Linked DNA regions of Caenorhabditis elegans. The protein of the gene in region 1 interacts with the protein of each later gene in a pairwise test. Each region holds a gene or a part of one and is shown in the gene's direction. Other genes may lie near its edges. The genes, in order: enri-1 and mfap-1.

Region 1 (10,081 bases):
GAAGATCAATTTTGAATAAAAATAGCGCCTCTTTAGTGATCTCCCCATCAATCTCTGTTCTTTTATCTTATCATTGAGACATTAGCTTGTTGGAAATCCAGTTACACAAGAACGGGATCTACTTTGGCTTATTACTCTTGTCTAACTATTCACCAATTTTGCTTGAAAAATACATTTAACAGAAAATTGAAATTAGAACCGTTTATTTATTTACAAAACCCATAAAATATTCTTTAAAAAATCGAATTTCAATTTTTCAGCTTCTCAATTGTTTTCTGATATCCTTCATTAACTTTCTTCACGCAAAAATCAATTTTTGAAATGCATTTCTCCAATTTTTTTGACGAATTTCCCGCCGTATCCGATGGTTTGAAAATCGATTTCAGACGATTATTGCGTTCAACTTTCAGAAATCCATAACCAATATTAAATTGATATCCAAAAATACAAAAGATTCCAAGGAAAATGCACAAAAATGAGAATGGAACCATCACTAGTGACGTGGCAAGTGGAAGCTCTGCGATGAAGCGGCCAATTAGTTTTCCACACGATTCACCGAACTGAAAATATAGTTTTTAAATTTTTAAAGCAAAAATTCGAATTTTGCATAAAATTTCAGCTTAAACACAGAAAACTAGAAGTCTCTAGCTTGATTTTGAATTTGAATTTGTTTTTTTTGGGTTACTGTAGCCCCAAAAATACGCAAACACTATTAGATTGAATTTCCATTATTAAATTTGAATTCTCCGCTGTTCACTTTGTATATCCGTGAGTTTTCAGCTGAAAAATCGAAAATCGCGTGAAATTCGGTGTTTCTGGTGTACTGTAGTCGGTGTTTGCGTCCTTTTGGCGCTACCGTAACCCGGGATTTTCAAAATTGCGCTAGAAGCTTCTAGTTTTTTGTGCTTAGCCTGAAATTTTATAAGGTTTTCAGATTTTGCACTAAAATTACACAAAAACTTCTGGTTTTCTTGGAAAACTCGAGATTTCAGTTTTCTTCAAAATATCTAAAACTTACTACTGAAGCACACAATATTATAATCCGTCCAAGTAGACTAAAAGGTACTGTAACTGGATTCACATGCCATTTCCAATGTGTACTTTCTGCCTTGCCAAACATCCACCGGAGCAGCTGATTAGATAAGGTGTCTGAAAATAATTGATTTGTTGGAAATTCTGAGATTTTTCAGAATTTTTAACTTTCAAATTTGAAATCCACATAAAATTTCAGTCTAAAAATCAAAAACTAGAGCTTTCTAGCTCAGTTTTGAAATTTCGAGGGTTACGGTAGCGCCAAAAGTACGCAAACACCGAATTTCACGCAATGTTCGAATTTTGAGCTGAAAATTCATCGGTAGACTAATAAAGTGACGGAAAATTCGAATTTCTTTGTAAAAAACCTCAGAAAAAATTTTGAAATATACAAAAAAAACCCACCATCTTTCCATTTATGCTCCTCCAACATCAGAATTGCTTCGATAAATATTATCCTAAAAATTTTTTTGTTTTTCATTGCAAATTTTCTCTCTGAAAACCTTACATGGTAACTAGAAATGCTCCAAAAATTGATAAATTTTCAGATTTATGCCATTGGAATACGGCTTCCCGAGTTAAAATGAATATGCCGAGTAGAAGAAGAATCCAGGAGACGAGAAATAAAAAATCGAGTAGGAACATTGCTGAAATTGATGAAAATTCGTAAAATTTTTCATAATTTTTGGTATTTTTACAAAAAAAATCCTAATTTTTATCGATTTTCTCTGAATTTTTCACGATTTTTCTTTCAAAACTTCTTTTCGCATTAGTAGTCATTGAAAATTTTATTAAAAACCAATAAAAACTACTTAAAACCCACAAAACCACAATTTCCCATTCAAATTCCCCTGCTGTGTGGATTTACGATAAACAGCACGCACCGCTGACGGGAGAGCGGAGTGTCGTTTAGCGGGGGGCACATGGTGCATTGAGGGTGAGAAAGTGGAAAGTTATCGACTTTTTAGAAGAATTATTGAAAAAATAGGTAGATTTCTATGAGAAACTTCAGAAATTCTCCAATTTTCGCCAACTTTCGCCAAATTTCTGTAAATTTTCGCCAACTTCTACCTGATTTACACTACTTTTCAAGTGGTTTTCGGGCAGTTTTCGTAATTTTTGGCACCTTTTTTTTTCGACATTTCTCACCAAAAATTATTTTTTTTAGATTTTCAGTAGATGTGTTTTTGGCTAGTTTGGAAGTTTTTTGGCAAATTTACAGAGATTTTCTGAACTTTTAAAATATTTGTTGCCATTTTCTCCAGATTTTAGTTTTTTTAGATAGTTTTTTTTTTGCATTTTCCCTTTTTTTTGCCAAATTACCGTACCAATTTGCAATTTTTCGGCGATTTCGGGCAACTTTCCTATGTTTTTTGCTAGTTTTTCAGTTTTTTTGGAACTTTTTTCGCAAGTTATATAATACTTATTGTACGACAGTTTTCAGTAATTAGAAATTTTTCATAGATTTTCAGAAGTTTTTGGTTATTTTTTGGCAATTTTTCAATAACTTCAAGATTATGTATTTTTTGGCAATTTACGAGAAACTTTTTGGAAATTTTTGGCAATTTTAACAACTTTTTGGTAAGTTTTGGCAATTTTTTAGCAACTTTTTGAAAAGTTTTGGTAATTTTTTGTTATATCGCTGGGAAATTTCCAATCTTGTCAGCAATTCCTAAACTTCTTAATTTTAAAATTTTTTTGTTGCCAATTTCCATATTTTATTCCGGCAAAAAAAAATTTTATTTTCCATTATTTTCCGGCTGTTTTGAAGTTTTTCCCATAGCCCGCACCTATCGAACACCCCCAGCTGCCACAACGACTCCGCAATTTTACGCCAATTTCTCTGGTGTCTCTTACTATTACATACTGTTTTCTTTACATCTTATTTCTGTGGTTTTGCACGTCTGGGTCTCATACTCCTCTTCACACTCTCTTCTTCCTGCCCGCAAGCCCCCTGACCTTTACGCGTTCATTTTATGCAAAACAATTCCGTTTTTCTATAGATTTTTTGGTTTGTTTTCGAAATTTGGGCGGTGAGCAATTTGGGATGTAGATTTCCGTTTTTCAGAATATTGAATTAAAAACCTTATAAATTCCAAAAATTCAGTGCATTTTTTTTCAAATCTTTCTCAGAAAAATTAATAAGCTTTCCTGAAAATTGTCCATTGAGCAATTTGTGTTGTAGATTTACACTATCATTTTTCCAATTTTTGAAGAATTTTTAAACTTTCTTTGGGTTTTTTTTCTAAAAATTCCCAATTTTTATGGTTTTTGATACATATATTTTTTACTTTTTTTCACCTTTTTTCTAACTAAAAATCGATATATTTTCCAGAAATTCGCTATGAAAATAGCAAAATTCACCCGAATTAATGCTCATCAAGTACAAAACTGCAACAATGAAAAAATCGCACATGAACGGAAAATGGAGAAGGTCTTCGAGTTTTTGGCTGAGGATAAAAAGACGTTTGAAGCCAGTAATAGTTTTGGTGAGTGATTTTTTATTTTGGAAAATTATTATTAAATAAATCGAATTCTTTACAAAAAAGTCACTCTTGTAACTAAAAACTAGAGTTGTCTAGCTCAATTTTGAAATTTAGAGGGTTACGGTAGCGCCAAAAATACGCAAACACCGACTACAGTACTCCAGAAACACCGAGTTTCACGCGATCTCCTAATTTTGAGCTAAGAAATTAGGAATAGACTAAGAAAATTATGAAGAATTCGAATTCTCTAAAAAATTCGAAAAAATGGCTAATAACTTTGCAAAATTAATTTTTGAGCCGCGACGCGACCGCAACGCATTCAAAAATTTCCAACAATTTAAATTTTTGAAGTTTACGTTTCAAATTCGAATTCCCCATAAAATTTCAGTCTAACCCGCAAAAAATAGAAGTTTCTAGCTCAATTTTGAAATTTCGAGGGTTACGGTAGCGCCAAAAGTACGCAAACACCGAATTTTACGCGATTTTTGAATTTTGAGCTGAAAATTTACAGATAGACTAAGAAAATAGTGGAGAATCCGAATTTTTCATGGAAAATGCGAAAAAAATGTAAATTTTTCCAGAACGCACACTAATTTTCTGCAAACACGACAAATCGGCAATGGCAGCTCTGCTAACACTCTACGACAGCAAAACTATATTCGGAACGTTTTCGGAATATCTAATAACAAATGACAAAACTGTGCTGGAAAGAGAACGGGTACAAGTGAATAATGGAGAGAAAATGCTCGCGATTTGTAATATGGATTTTATGGACGATTTTCAGTTGGGGTTGGCTAAGCATGTAAGTTTTTTTGTTGAAAAACTTGGAAAATTTGTAAAAAATTCAAAAAATTTGGCACGAATTTACACTTTTCCTTGCCAATTTCAAATTCCTCACAAAATTTCAGTTTGATACTGAAAAACTAGAGCTCGCTAGCTCAATTTTGGAATTTCAAGGGTTACTGTAGCGCCAAAAGTACGCAGACACCGACTACAGTACTCCCAGAAAAACAGAATTTTACGCGATTTTTAAATTTTCTGCTGAAAGCTAGGGGTTAAGCTGAGATAATTATGTGGAATTCGACATTTAAATAAAAAATTCATTATAACAACTTTTGAGCCCCAAAAACTAAACTTGTTGTCTGAAAGTTGTCAGATATTGTTAGATATTCAGATAATTTCCAATTTTTATAGTCAAATCTGAAATCTACACAAAATTTTACTAAGGCAGCCGAAAACTAGAGCTCTCTAGCTCAATTTTGAAATTTTAAGGGTTACTGTAGCACCAGAGATACGCGAACACCGACTACAGTACCCCCAGAAACACAGAATTTCACGCGATTTTCGATTTTCGAGCTGAAAATTCATGGTTAAACTAAGAAAATTACGGAGAATTCGAATTTGATAAGGAAAATGCGGAGAAAAAATCCTAACACCGAGAATTCAATTTTGAGCCTCAACGCGACCGCGACGCATTCAAATCTTGGAACTTATTTTGAAATTTTCTTCTCAAAATTGAATTTCTCATAAAATTTCATGCTAAACCTCAAAAACTAGACCATTCTAGTTCAATTTTAAAATTTTCCGCGTTACGGTAGCGCCAAAAGTACGCAAGCACCGAATTTCACGCGATTTTTGAATTTCGAGCTAAAAATTGAAATTTAGACTAAAAAATATACCCGAAATTCAATTTTAATACTGGAAATTTTATTTTTCAGTACATCTTCCTCGATTTCCCACTAAAAATCATTGGAATCAAGAAAATGCTCGATCGGCTCAACACAATGGCTCAGCAATCGGAGCAAGTCATCGATATTGATTTTTTAACGACAAATATGGATGCACGGATCTACCAGGAAGCTCTGAACATGGAGATGACTATGAGAGGATCCCAAGTCCCAAAGTGGCTGACGGAGCTGGTGAACGGGTAAGGACCTGAAGTAGAGCTTCATGTAGGCGCCAAAATGCCTGCCTGCCGCGAGCCGTGTCTCCTGTATATATATATATATATATATATATATATATAACCCGAAAAATGTCGGCCGCGTCAAAACTATATTGCTCATTATGTGGTATAAACACCAAGCCTTTGACTTGTTTCAGAAATGAGGCGATAGGCAGGCGTGAGGCGGCAGGCCTGAAGTCTAGCCTAGAAGCCTAGCCTAAAGTAACATTTTTTGTTATTTCAGATCATCAGAGCTGCCGGAGGATCCTGACGTGATCTTTGTGAGAACTTGCAAGCCCGACCTAGAACCACTCACGGCTAAACCTGCAAAGCTCCCGTCACCCCGGCAACCGGAATCCAAGCCATCCAACGAAGCTTCAAGCTCCCAACTCGAGCCCACATCAGCATCACAGCCCCCATCTCGAGTCGATCAGATCTTGAAGTCAAGATCAGGATTACCAACAAAGGATGCAGACAGCTCCTCCGAAGTAGCTCCACGAAAACGGAAGCCGAAATCTCCGGCATTTGACATTTACAATATGAAGCGCCAACCCGATGGGACTTTTCTCATACCGAGCCACGTCATGGGCTTCTGCAATGAGGATCTCAGTGAAGATGATGAGGAACCGGATCCGGAATATGATTCGGAGGAAGAGTATAATTGGATGTATAAATTGGATGTTTGGTAATTTATGGATCTCTTCTTTTTCTTGCATGACAACGTTGAACCCAAGAATAAATGTGTCTGAATGGTTTTTGAAATAGCCGAACTAGTCTAGGGGCTCCATGGAGGCTCCAAAATCTTGAGGCCCTGAGACGACCTCCGCCTGCCTTGCGGCGTGGAACCTGAAAAGTTTCGGCTGGGTAGGCCTGAAACCGGGCCAATAGTCCATTTACAGTATAGACTACAAGAATACATACAAGACTACAAGTCGGCCTGTTAAAATACAAAATGAGAAGACGGAATAAGCTTTATGTATGTATATTGATGTTTAACTTCAGCTCGAATCTTCAAATCGGAATTCTGGAAGCTTCACATGCAAGGTTTTCAATTCCATTGGTGGTTTTTCTGAAAATTCATATATCTATTGGGGAGATAAAACTCCAAACCCCACCTTTAACATCCGAGAAACTAAAGGATTCATCATTCCAGTCAACCTTATCCTTCACCCGATACAACTCGAAATCGGTCATCCCGACGAGCTGTTCCACTTCCTCACACTTCTTCTCCAGTAGATGCCTGATGACATGATTGGAGATTTGACCCATCCGATTGTCCTCCTCACTGGTCAGCACACTCTTCTTTAACACTTCCTTTGAAGTCTTTTCTCGTTCTGCAACAGAGCTTCGGATTCTGTCGTAGTGTCGTGTTATCTGAAAGTACAACTTACTATAAGGTTTAGGCTTAATCTTAGGCTTAGGCTCTGGCTTAGGCTTCCACTTAGGCTTAGGCTTTGAAAGAACCTGTAAATGAAACTCACCTCATCGTATTTCTCCTTATATAGCTCATCATTCTTCTTGAGAGCAGCCCTGAAAACAGGAAGTCGCTTTTTTCTACAAATCACTTTTAAGCCCACTTTTCCAGTGCTTGAATTTTATCATCAACCTGTTTCTTGTTGACTTGAAGCTTCCTTTGCCGCTCTAGAAGGTTCTGCCTAACTTTCTTAGCTTCAACCTGCAGAAGCCCTTTTCTATGTCCTGCGTGGACTCCGAACTCCTCACAAGTCCGGCACATCAGCTTGCTTCGACTGGAGCAGTTTGGACTCTGAAGAACTTTGGTCGATGCGCCATGTCTTGCAATTTCACGCATCATGGTGCATCGACCAAACTTACGATACAAACGAACTCGGCCAGATTATAAGTGTGCTCCTCGCAATTTGGTGGTGCTCCAGATGATCTTGGCTCAGTCTGATAGTGTGTAAAGTCTTCAACAATATTAATGAAAAATTCCAACTTACAACGGACTCATTGATATCATTGAACAAGCTTATAGCCTCTAGCAATGCAAAATTGGTCTGCAAGTTTTCATTTTCTCGAAGCTCAGTGGTTTTTCGGCAGAATGGGCACAGGATTTTGAAATTAGAGACTAATTTTGAAGAGCAGGCCTTGCAAATTGAGTGACCGCAAGCTGAAAAGTGACTTGCGAGTTTTGATGGTCTGTATGGCTAGTTAGTCAAGCCTAAGTCTCAGCCTAAGTCTACGCCAAAGCCTAATCCTAAGCTTAAGAATTAGCCTAAGCCTAATCCTAAGCTTAAGAATTAGCCTAAGCTAAGCCTTAGCCTAAGCTAATCCAGGCCATCCAAGTTTAGTTATACTCGGCATTTGGTCCGAAAAGTATTGACTTCGATCAGAATTTAGATAAACTTGGTCAAAAATTGGGCAAAATTTTGACATTTTTTGGATTTAGGCTTTAAGCGTAAGTTTAAGCCGACACAGCAAAAGTTTCGGGCCAACGTAACTTTTGGCGCAGCCTGAATGCAAGAATGGCCAAACTCTTGTTAAACTGTCCGGATCTAGTAAGATGATATTCTTGGGCTAATCATGGGCCTATTACATTTTAAATTTGGACGGAGCCCAACGCAACTTGGAACATTTTTTAGCGTAAGCTATGCAATAGTGGTCTCAAGTCAAAACTCACTCAAATTCTTGGGATGCCGATTTGTGATCACATTTGAATAGTCCTCGGTGCAAACTCCGCATTTCAGAAACGACATTTTTTTTTCGAATTTTGTTTATTTTACTGGCCAGTCGACAGAAATTAGAAAATGAAATTGAAACTACACTCTTATCAAGGTCGTTGCTTCCTCACTCGTGCTATTCTTTAGATAACCAATTCACATGTCAATTTCCCAAAATTCACTTGTTTGCTCCAATTTCTACTTGAAATTATTTCTAATATGAAAAAGGAGACCCTCGCTTTTTAGTAGTGACGTCACAACCCTATGACGTCATACCATATGGTAAAAAATTTGCGGAACAAAACCAAAACAAAAAACAATTTATTATAACAATTTTAATTCAATAATTCAACAATTAATTCCATAACGAGATCACCAATTTCTGAAAAAAAAACTCGTAAAAATCGGAACACAAAAGAAACATTTTCCAGAAAAATAACTCACTTTTTTTTAGGACGATGGTGCACAAGAGCAGAAATGAAAAAATAAAATTTTTTAAAAATTTGATATAATTGAAGAAGTAAGTTACTATGACGTGTCTGACGGTGGGAGTTGTAGCCGAGTCTGGAATACAGAAAAAAATATTAAGGATATTAGCAAGTTTTGCTCACCTTGAAACTTTTAAAATAAAAGTTTTTTTTTGCTCAAGCATTTATTCGACCTGTCGAGAATAATTAAAACCAGCAAAGTTTAGTAGAAATTAACATAAAATCAATAGTAGAGAAAAAAGGAGGGCGCACATTCCGTAGGCACCCAAAGGAGATGGAATGAGGAGAGCCGCGGAGCCAGCTCAGCGATAGAGCTCAGTTGCTATGGTGATCATAATCTTCTTGAGCATTATCTTGGTGAGCAAAAATATTAAAAAATAGCTACAGGCGCATGGTAACCATAGTGATAATCTGATAATCCTTCCGTCTCAGCGATTTTGAGTCAAATCTCTTGGAATCTTTACCCATGATATCACAAGCGGGTTTTTCAATCGCTCAGGGGTAAGCGGCAAATAATTTTTCCGGCCAAATTGGCCAAATGGCATATTGCCGGAATTGAAAACTTTTGGCAAATAGGCAAATCGGCAAATTGCTGCACTTGAAAATTTCCGGCAAATCGGCAAATCGGCAAATTGCCGGAATTTAAAACTAACTTACCAGTTTGCCGAATTTGCCGGAAAAACGGCAACTGTGGAACATTTTTTGCCAAATTGTGGTCTTGCACATTTTTTTGGAAGTTTCAGAATTTCAATTTTAATCGGTAAAATTGTACGCATCCTATGAATCTTCTTATATCTATTTTGAAATTGCCAAAATTGAAAATTTCCGGCAAATTGACGCAGTTGAAAATGTCTTCAAATCGGCAAACCGGAAAATTGCCGGAATTAAAAAATACCGATGAATTGGCAAACCAGCAAAATGCCGAAATTGATAATTTTCGGCAAATCGACAAACCGGCAAATTGCTGAAATTAAAAATTTCCGGCAATCGGCAAATTGCCAAAATTGAAAATCTCCAGCAAATTGCCGCATTTGAAAATTTCCGGCAAATCAGCAAACCGGCAAATTTGCCGATTTGCCGAATTTGTAGAAAAAAAACTCTGAAAAAGATTGGCCCATGTCTGTTCGCTTTTGAAGCGCAACAAAATCATCAATCACATTTTTATTTATGTACAAACATTTTCAATTAAATATCCTATAAAACCGTCGTTGGCATCAATCAGAGCAGCTAGCAGGTTGTCTGAAAAAAAAAACTTTTATATAAAAATTCATATTTCTCTCGTTAGCTTACCTCCTAGCCCTGCAAAATTCTTCAAACTCGCGAGACAAATTGTTGTCAATTCTAGAAACTTTCGTGACTTCTGAAAAATCCAATTTTTCCAATCAATATTTTTTCAAAGACCTACGTATGACAAGCCTATCCATCTCTGGAAAAATCAGTGCTGCGTCAAAA
Region 2 (8,980 bases), on another chromosome or scaffold:
TTTTGTTAAATAATTTTGGAATACCTGATAGGGTCAATTATAGAATCAAATTCATTTTCTTGTCGTGAATCATGCAACTCTCCACGAACTGTGAGAATACCACGTAATCCATCTTCCAAATCTTTTTCATATGCTGCTATCTGAAATTTTTTTTACAATTTAATTTTATAATTTCAGCTGGGAGTTTTTAAAAACTTTTTTTTTTCTCAAATTTTCGTTTTAGTGGTTTAAAAACTGACCGAATCTCTAAGCGCAGGTGTATCCCTGAGTCCTCCTTGTAACGCTATTCTCTGTAAAACTCTCAGCTCTCCTAATTGTCGATTCGCAGTTTTTTCATACATGCGCACTAATGTGCTAAATCTTTGAGCAAGTGTACTCATCTAAAAATTGATTTCTTTTGTGAAAATCTGAACAACTGAAACATAAAGCAAATGAAAATAATGGCAAGAAAATAGCTCGATGATCAAAAAACATTTTGATAAGGAATAGAATGGGAATGAAAATAAAATAAATAATTCATTATTTTGTAAATTTGACAGAACAGAAAGAGAAGGAAATAAAAAAAATTAAAAACTAATTGATGAAACCGGTTTTTTATGCTTTTTTTCAGAAATCAATCACCGCTCGAGTTTCTCCAAAAACTTTCGAATCTCCTTGTGGAAGCTCCTGAAAAATAAATTATTTTCATGAATAATTTGATTTCATGTCACTTACCTTCCTGCTTTACTCTGCTCTTCAGCAATTAGCTCGAGTGTTCCAATTAATTGACGAAATGATGTTCTTCCACCCATTTTCAAAAGCGAATCATCAAGCTCGGCGAGCAATCCCCGAACCTTTCGTTCAGCAGTCACGTCGTTTTTCGAACCAGTACGAAGAGCCATAACACATTGAGAGTTGACACATTTTTCAACAACCAATTCAAATCTGGCGGCAATTGATATCAGTGGTGAGAGGGCATTTATCGATTTTATGAGCTGTAATTTTTTTTTTGGAAATTTTGAAAAAAGGGGTTTCAAACATTATATTTCGAGATATTCAAAATAGCTATTTATGTTGTACTAAAAAGTTTCTGAAAAGAGCTGTCGGCAAAAAATTTTGGGTTTTCGCGGTTTTTCAGAGAAAAAATAAGGAAAAGTTTATGAAAAATCGAAAAATCTTTAAAAAAAGGAAATTTTTCAACGTTCTCAAATCCAACACCCTTAATTCTATGGAAATCAATTATCTTTTTTTTCAACCAATTTTCTCGATGTTTTTGTATTGTTTTAGTGATAAGATAAGTATTACCTTAATACAAGTCCAAAATTGTCGATCGTGAAATTGTCGACAAATAGGTTGTTCAAGAGCATTTGGCATGAAAATTGGCATAAAAAGATCTTCAGAAATACAATCACAAATTCGTTCTCGAATTGCATTTAGAAATGCGTTGAATTGCTTGCTTTTTTCCGTCAAATTTGGCAGTTTTTCAAAAAGTGAACAAAATGTTGTGAGATGACGAGTTTGTCGAAGAGACATTGGATCCCATTCCTCTTTTACGGTATCTGTAATATGGTTTTTGAAAAATAATTTTTGTTTGGAAAGCAGAAAAATCACCAAAATTTGATGAAAGTTTCAAAAACAAACCTATTAAAAATGGAATCACAACTTTTTCAACGATGGCTGGCGCCAGCTCGACTAGGATTTCATGACTTTGATCAATTTCTGCATTTTCTGAGCCAGCAAGCATTGCGATATGGAACCATTGCATAGAAGTTAAGATTGTTTCTTTCTGAAATTTTTTTTTTGTTTTGTAAAGCTATACAAAATTACTTACTCTAAGAAAATCCGCTCTGAGTATCTGTAGTCGAACATACGGAGAGCTCAACTTTGGAATACACAAATAAACATAAGCATCCTGAAACGACTTCGGATCAACTGCCAACCAATCCGTCATCCGTCCAAAAACTTTTCGAAGATCAGAATACTCATCTAGAGCATCTGCAAATAAAACAGAAGCAACTGCTTCCACTTCATCACAGATCTTTTGATCATTCATTGACTGGGGAGTTGGTTCTTCATCATCTGTACTTAATCCTTCTTCATGATTAATTCTAGCAAGTGTAAATTCACGTTCTCGACGTCGACGGCCTCTGAAATATATAAATATATAGATTTTGATAGAAATAATCTGAACAAGAATGAGATTTTTTTTTCTAAAAAGTGAAATGTCATAGTTGTGAGAGATCGTCTATTGTCATATGGGAAATATTTTCACATGATTATTGCGAAATAGAAAAAAAAATTGAGTATGAATATCTATGTGTGCGATGAAAGAAAATAAAAACAGAACTCAAACTAAAGGGACTATATTTAAATTTTAATTAGTTGGTTGAAAGTATAATTAATGGGGTTATTCAAGTAATGTCGGAAAATTAAAAAGTGTAGAAAAATTACGTCACCTTATTCAAGTAGATAAAAACATGTATTTAAATACATTTGTGACGTCACAAATGTACTTAAATACATTTTGCTACATTACTTGAATAATCCCATAAATATTTGTTCTACATTTTCGGAAAGTTTTAGAATTTATAAACTTTCTGAATTCGTAAAAAAAATTCGTGCCGAGACCCATCATTTTCAGCTATGATTATTTTTAGAAAGCACAGATATTGATATTGACAGATTTCCCACAGACCTGTCAATTAAACTATTTCAAAAAAATACGTACCTTCTGGCGTCACGTTCTGCTGCTCTTCCAGCGGCCTCACCCATTCTTGCATTTCTTCCCTGCATACATTCTGCATGTTGATCCCTCATGTCTTGTCTTCTACGTACCGAGAGTCTTGAAGTCCTGGATTTCCCACAATCTCTTTTCTTATCGATAATCGAATTAATTTCGCCAACTTTTTCATTCAGACATTCTAAAAGACTACGGGAATACACTCGTAATTCTTGATACATTGTGTATTTGGTACTTTGGTTAGGAAGCTCCATTTCAATCTGAAATTATTAAAAAATGATATATATATATAATTATTGAAATACTTGTTACCTTTGCAATCATTGATTTGTTTTCTTCAATATTTTGCTCCAATTTTCGTTTTTCTTCTTTTCTGAAATTCAATGCTTCATCTCGTTCTTGAATCCGCAATTTTAATTTAGCAAGAATATCTTCAATTTTTACAACTCCTCCGGTATTTGATGGTCCTGAAATTAATTAAAATTATTTGTCTTCAAACAAAATAATATACCAGTAAATTCCGGTTTTCCAATTACTTGAACATCCATATCAAGATCAATATCCATATCCATTGCTGTGTCATCTTCAACAGGAACTGTATGCCCAAATAATTTAGAAGTATTTCGTTTTTCTGTTCGCAGTTGGCCTATCTATAATTTTTAAATTTTCAGATTCACGATCTCTATTACCACAAAAAGCTCACCTCTCTCCGACTAACAGCTTTCCGAATTTGTTGTTTTTCCCATTCCTCATTTTCACTATCATCATCACCTTTTATTCGTTCAGCTTCATCAATATCTCCATTTTCTCGTTCTAAAAATCCTTCTTGTTCTTCTCTACGACGATCTTCTTCTGTTCGAAGTAGCTCACGAGCCGAATAGAATTTATTTGTACACTCTTCATCCGAATCATCATTCTCATCTTCTCGAATCAATCGATTTCGTTCACTTTTAGATTTAAGTTTTTGTGTGTCATCCAAAGGAATATATCCGTCTTGATTTCCCTCTCTTCTGGCTCGTTCTCGGCGTTTTTTTGCTTCGAAAACGGCACGAGAGTCGGGAATACCTTCAAAAGCAGAATTGAATTTATTGGAAACTGATGAAATTGCTTCTGCATCAATATCCAAATTTTCTTCGTATTCGTAGCTCTCCGAATTCGAAATGTGCTTAGCAGATTTGTCACGATATTTGTCAAGGTATTTATGCCGCTCATTTTTCGTCTTTTTGTCTTCTTTTGAGAGTTTCTCCTTTTTCACAATTTTATCAAGCGCTTCCTTACGAATTTTCTCTTCCTTATATAATTTTTCAGCTTCCTCCTCTAGTTTGTGTTGACGTTTCAATTCTTCAACTTTTTTCTTGTCTTTCTTAAGTTTGAACGTCGAATCAGCTCCTTCATCAGCATCGAAACTCATGGCTGGACGAGGCACAGCAGGTTGTTTGACCTTTAAATAAAAATTAAATTAAAAAGAATGTTGAAATTCATTAAAACTCACTTCGATAGCCGAGACTACTTGTTGGTTTTCAGCATCAGGTTCATCCCATCCGTCAGATTTCCGTTGGCGAATAGCACCTTTTGCCTTTGGTTTACGGAACATTCTGAAAAACGTTTTGAGTAAAAAAAAAAGAAAAAAATGAGCGTTTAGCAAGAAAATTTGGCCAAAATTGATATTTGAAAATATTTTCGTAAACGAGACTGTCGTAAGATGTGCTGTTGGGTCTGCATACACCACGTGAGGTACTCTTTATGCATTATAACTTACGAGCAATTTAATGCTTATTATTTTTTTCGAAAAATTCAATTAAAAATTTTACATATTTACTCTTTATTGTTTCTGACTATTTTTTGCCGAAATTAAAAAGGGTTAATTTTAAAAATAACTTTCAGAATGGGAGATTATGTACCTGGATTTGAACAACGCGAAAGCGATAATCGAAGTTTCGGACATTCGCGTCTTCCGACTCTTGGAGCCATTCCAATCAAAAATGAGAAAGGACAAACTGTTATGCAGAAAGTGAAAGTTTCAAGATATGTGGCTGGAAAGGCGTAAGTTTTTTTTCGTTTAATGGTTGAATTAGTCTTTAAAACATTGATTTTCAGACCAGAATATGCTCGTAACTACGACAGTGACAGCAGTGAATCAGACCGAGAGACAGATCGAGATGATGATCGAAGAAGACGTAGACGTCGTGAAAGTAGTGATGAAGAAGATAGAAGACGCCACAGAAGACACGAAGATTATGGTAGACGACGACAGGTGGAGAAGCCAGAAGTTCTTGGAAAAGTAGAGGACGAATCATCTGAAAATGAACAGGAATCTGAAGAAGACGAAGAGAAACAAGAAGAGAGAAGAGAAAGAGCCAGAATGAGAAGATTGGAATTACATGAAAATAACAGAGAAAAAGATGAAGAACAAGAAGACAGTGCTGAATCAGATGAAGAAGATTTTGAAAGAAGACGTCAAATGCTCAGAGATAGAGCTATTAAAAGAGAGGAAGAAATAAAACGAGAAATTAAAGAAGAACTTGAAGAAGATGATGTTGAAGAGGAGGAAGAAGAAGAAAGTAGTGAAGAGGAAGATTCAGATGAAGATGACGATCCAGTTCCAAGATTGAAGCCTATTTTCACAAGAAAGAAGGATCGTATCACTTTGCAAGAAGCCGAGAAGGAGAAAGAAAAAGAAATTCTGAAAAAGATCGAAGACGAAAAAAGAGCTGAAGAACGGAAGAGAGAAAGTGCAAAATTAGTTGAAAAGGTTCTTCAAGAGGAAGAAGCTGCTGAGAAAAGAAAAACAGAAGATCGTGTTGATTTGTCATCTGTTCTAACCGACGATGAAACTGAAAATATGGCATATGAGGCGTGGAAGCTCAGAGAAATGAAACGATTGAAGGTAAATTTTTGCTGCAAAATTTTGAATGTAGATCTTCGAAGTTTTTTTTTTGAGTTTTTTAATAAATTGACATAGAAATTTCTCAAAAAAATTCTCACTATAATATCCGATATCCAATTTTTTTTTGCAGAGAAACCGTGACGAACGTGAAGAAGCCGCACGCGAGAAGGCAGAACTTGACAAGATTCACGCAATGTCCGAGGAAGAACGACTCAAATATCTTCGTTTAAATCCAAAGGTTATCACTAACAAACAGGACAAAGGAAAATACAAGTTCCTTCAAAAATATTTCCATCGTGGAGCTTTCTTCTTGGATGAAGAAGATGAAGTACTCAAGAGAAACTTTGCCGAAGCTACCAACGATGATCAATTTGATAAAACTATTCTGCCGAAAGTTATGCAGGTAAATACTCGTAACTTATTATAGTGATAATTGAACTAAATTATTTATTTCAGGTCAAAAACTTTGGAAAAGCATCTCGAACCAAGTATACGCACTTGACAGAAGAAGATACAACAGATCATCAAGGTGTTTGGGCATCAACGAATCAGTTGAATTCTCAATTCTCCACGAAAAGAGCCGGAGGATCCAGACCAGTTTTTGAGAGACCTGCAACAAAAAAGCGAAAGAACTGAAAAAGCTTGCACATTCCTGAAAATCCCAATTTTTTGTACTTCGATTTCTATTTATTTGTTTTCTAAGAATAAAAAATGTTTCAGAGTAATTGTGCGATTAAAATACACCAGTACAATACGTGTTGCAGTAGCAATTATTCAACGCCAAAGTTCAAAGTTCTCGTCATACCAGCTAATGCAAAGGACAAACACAACTGTGTGTTCGAAACAAAAAAAACCAACAGACGGTTCGTTTCTCCCCTCATTTGGTTTGTGAACCTCTCCTATTCGGACTTTCAAATGTTTTATTGAGAATTCCCATATCGACTCTCGTTTTCATATTTTTCAAATGCATTCAACCTAAACGAGCCGCTCACCATTCGTCCTTGTTTTTTTCTATTCCTTTTCAAGGTTTTCGTCATCATGTTGTGAGGAGTGTGTTGTCGATCGCCACCTTTTCCGATCGGTCGACTCTTGAAAAGTGGTTTTGCGTTTTTAATTAGAAAAGGGTCATTGGCGTGTTTGTATGCATGTTTGCAAAGTGTCCTATTACCGGTACAGAGAGTGTAGATAGTTAGAGAGTGACAGACATCCGGGACCCAATGGGGCGGGACGCGCGGAAGAGACGATTTGTGCCGATTTACGAAATTTTCCTCGTTGTCATCATTTCGTAAATCGACACAAATCGTCTCTTCCGCGCGCCCGCCCCATTGGGTCCCGGATGTCTGTCACTCTCTAACTATCTACACTCTCTGTACCGGTAATATTTCTTTCAAGAAGTAGTTTTCGTTTTCTTTCATTAGTTTTATGTTTTTTATAAACCAGGATATTAGATCGTAGTTTTCTTATTTGAGCTGCAAAATCTCTTTTTGAAAAATTTTTCCATGCTTATGTAGCTTTCATTTTTTTATCGCTCTTTTTAGATTGCGACATAGAACCAAAGTAACTTTATTTTGAGTGCCTCGAGCTCGAGAAAGTTCTAAAAATCTATTTTTACAATGAAATATTAATAATTTGCTGAATTTTATTTAAAACATCTTCTTTTAATGTTGGAGAAAAAGAACAGTATTTTCAAAATCAAACACAAAAATCTAGCGATCACCACAAACTTTTGTTTCGCTATGGGACCCGGTACTGTTGCCTCTTGAATGTTCCTTTAACTACAAAAGACCGCCTGAATTTTAGGAGCGCTCCTGAGCACATTTCTCATATCTTCATTCAAACCGGCAGTTTTCTCCCGAGAGCACTCTTAAATTGTTATTTTTGGGCTATTTTCGATTAAACTCTTCCAATTCTTTTTTATCAAACACCGTTCAATCAAATGTTCCTTATCAAAAACGCAAGACGTAGGCGGAGAACCAAAACTTTGCGATGAGTCAGAAGAATTTCACCATTTTTGGTTAGCGGAGAGTGGAAGAACCTCTTTTGTTTATAAATATTTTTTCTCGTCGTTAACTATACGCTTTTTTTCTTTCAAACTTATTCGTTCTAGAAAATGTCCGCTTTCGCTTCTTCGGATCGCGCTGAAAAGTCTGGAATTGCATTGGAGGCCCAGCAGAAAATCTACGAGAAATACGATAAGAATCTTGCCGGAGAAATTCTTCAATGGGTTCAGGTAATTTTGTGAAACTTTTCAAACGTTTATTGATTCTTGGCAAAGTCATATGTTTACATTGCAAACGAAGAAAATCATACAAATAAGTTATGCTCCTTCTTCGATTCACGATTTGAAACATTTTTCAGAACGTCACTGGCCAATCTTTCGACACCCAAGGAGACGCTGACAACTTGGTCAAGGTTTTTCAAGATGGAAGTCTTCTCTGCACTCTTGCCAATTCTTTGAAACCAGGAAGCGTCAAGAAGGTCAACACATCTGCCATGGCATTCAAGAAAATGGAGAACATCTCTTTCTTCCTGAAGTTTGCTGAGGAGTATGTGCAAAAGTCGGAACTCTTCCAGGTTTGTCCTTTCACTAAACACATTATGACATCAATTGTTTTCAGACTGTTGATCTCTACGAAGGACAGGACCCAAATGCTGTCCTCATCTGTCTCGCTTCTTTGGCACGAAAGTCTGAGAAGAACTTCGGTCGATCTGGTCTCGGACCGAAGGAAGCTCAAGGAGATCGTCGTGAATGGACCGATGAGCAATTGAAAGCTGGACATAACGTGATTGGTCTTCAAATGGGCAGCAACAAAGGGGCAACTGCTTCAGGACTTAACATGGGAAACACCCGCCACATGTAATTTCCAACGTATTCCCTACATTCTCAACCGGTTCTGGTAATCATAACGTGAAATTTTCCTATTCATTTTTTTATATGTCCAAATTATCAAGTGTACTGTAATCGATCTGGAAGCCACGCACTTCTAGAAAATTCAATTCGCTTCTCCAAATTTCATCGGTTCCAACATACAACTCATAATGATTTCCATGTTTTTGTGTAGAATTTTTGTCCAAATTATTTATTGTATTGTAATAAAGCTTGTAAGTAGGCAAATAAGCATTTTACAATATGAGACTAGACGATTTGCAAATGACTAGAAGAGCTTGAGGTCTGGTTGAACATGGATGTCATTTGCACGTTTCCAAATGACGATTTAAATAAGCTCGCAGGGCAAATCGACGACCACATTTATCACATTCGAATCGTTTGTCACCTGGAACAACAAATATTGAAGAACTGTTAGGTGTGAAAATATATGCGTAAATACCTGTATGAGTTAGCATGTGCGCTCGTAAGTTGCTCCGATCAGCAA

Evidence for each region.
Region 2: the proteins of enri-1 (region 1) and mfap-1 interact in a two-hybrid assay, tested with the Caenorhabditis elegans proteins (one study listed by BioGRID).

The regions. Positions count from the first base shown.
Region 1 is NC_003280.10:2,334,033-2,344,113, reverse strand, and holds enri-1 (Enhanced Nuclear RnaI (RNAi), T. Duchaine), read left to right. Parts: upstream 1-3,367; 5' UTR 3,368-3,376; coding exon 3,377-3,521; intron 3,522-4,099; coding exon 4,100-4,320; intron 4,321-5,071; exon of another isoform or gene 5,072-5,137; intron 5,138-5,236; coding exon 5,237-5,445; intron 5,446-5,707; coding exon 5,708-6,152; 3' UTR 6,153-6,217; downstream 6,218-10,081. Other genes in the region: F43C11.6 (MotA/TolQ/ExbB proton channel domain-containing protein), read right to left, coding at 249-560, 1,019-1,149, 1,438-1,490, 1,541-1,677; F43C11.7 (RING-type domain-containing protein), read right to left, coding at 6,462-6,532, 6,579-6,837, 6,945-6,993, 7,041-7,228, 7,297-7,371, 7,422-7,591, 8,102-8,177; F43C11.8 (RING-type domain-containing protein), read right to left, coding at 9,844-9,868, 9,920-9,989, 10,035-10,081.
Region 2 is NC_003279.8:8,635,860-8,644,839, reverse strand, and holds mfap-1 (Microfibrillar-associated protein 1), read left to right. Parts: upstream 1-4,603; 5' UTR 4,604-4,604; coding exon 4,605-4,762; intron 4,763-4,816; coding exon 4,817-5,606; intron 5,607-5,736; coding exon 5,737-6,009; intron 6,010-6,062; coding exon 6,063-6,242; 3' UTR 6,243-6,326; downstream 6,327-8,980. Other genes in the region: syx-17 (t-SNARE coiled-coil homology domain-containing protein), read right to left, coding at 25-140, 240-341; mog-7 (GCF C-terminal domain-containing protein), read right to left, coding at 618-666, 715-974, 1,285-1,538, 1,621-1,765, 1,811-2,126, 2,708-2,979, 3,032-3,186, 3,231-3,369 and 2 more; cpn-1 (Calponin-homology (CH) domain-containing protein), read left to right, coding at 7,717-7,836, 7,965-8,180, 8,225-8,467; ces-1 (C2H2-type domain-containing protein), read right to left, coding at 8,796-8,881, 8,936-8,980. UniProt on the Caenorhabditis elegans protein: Involved in pre-mRNA splicing.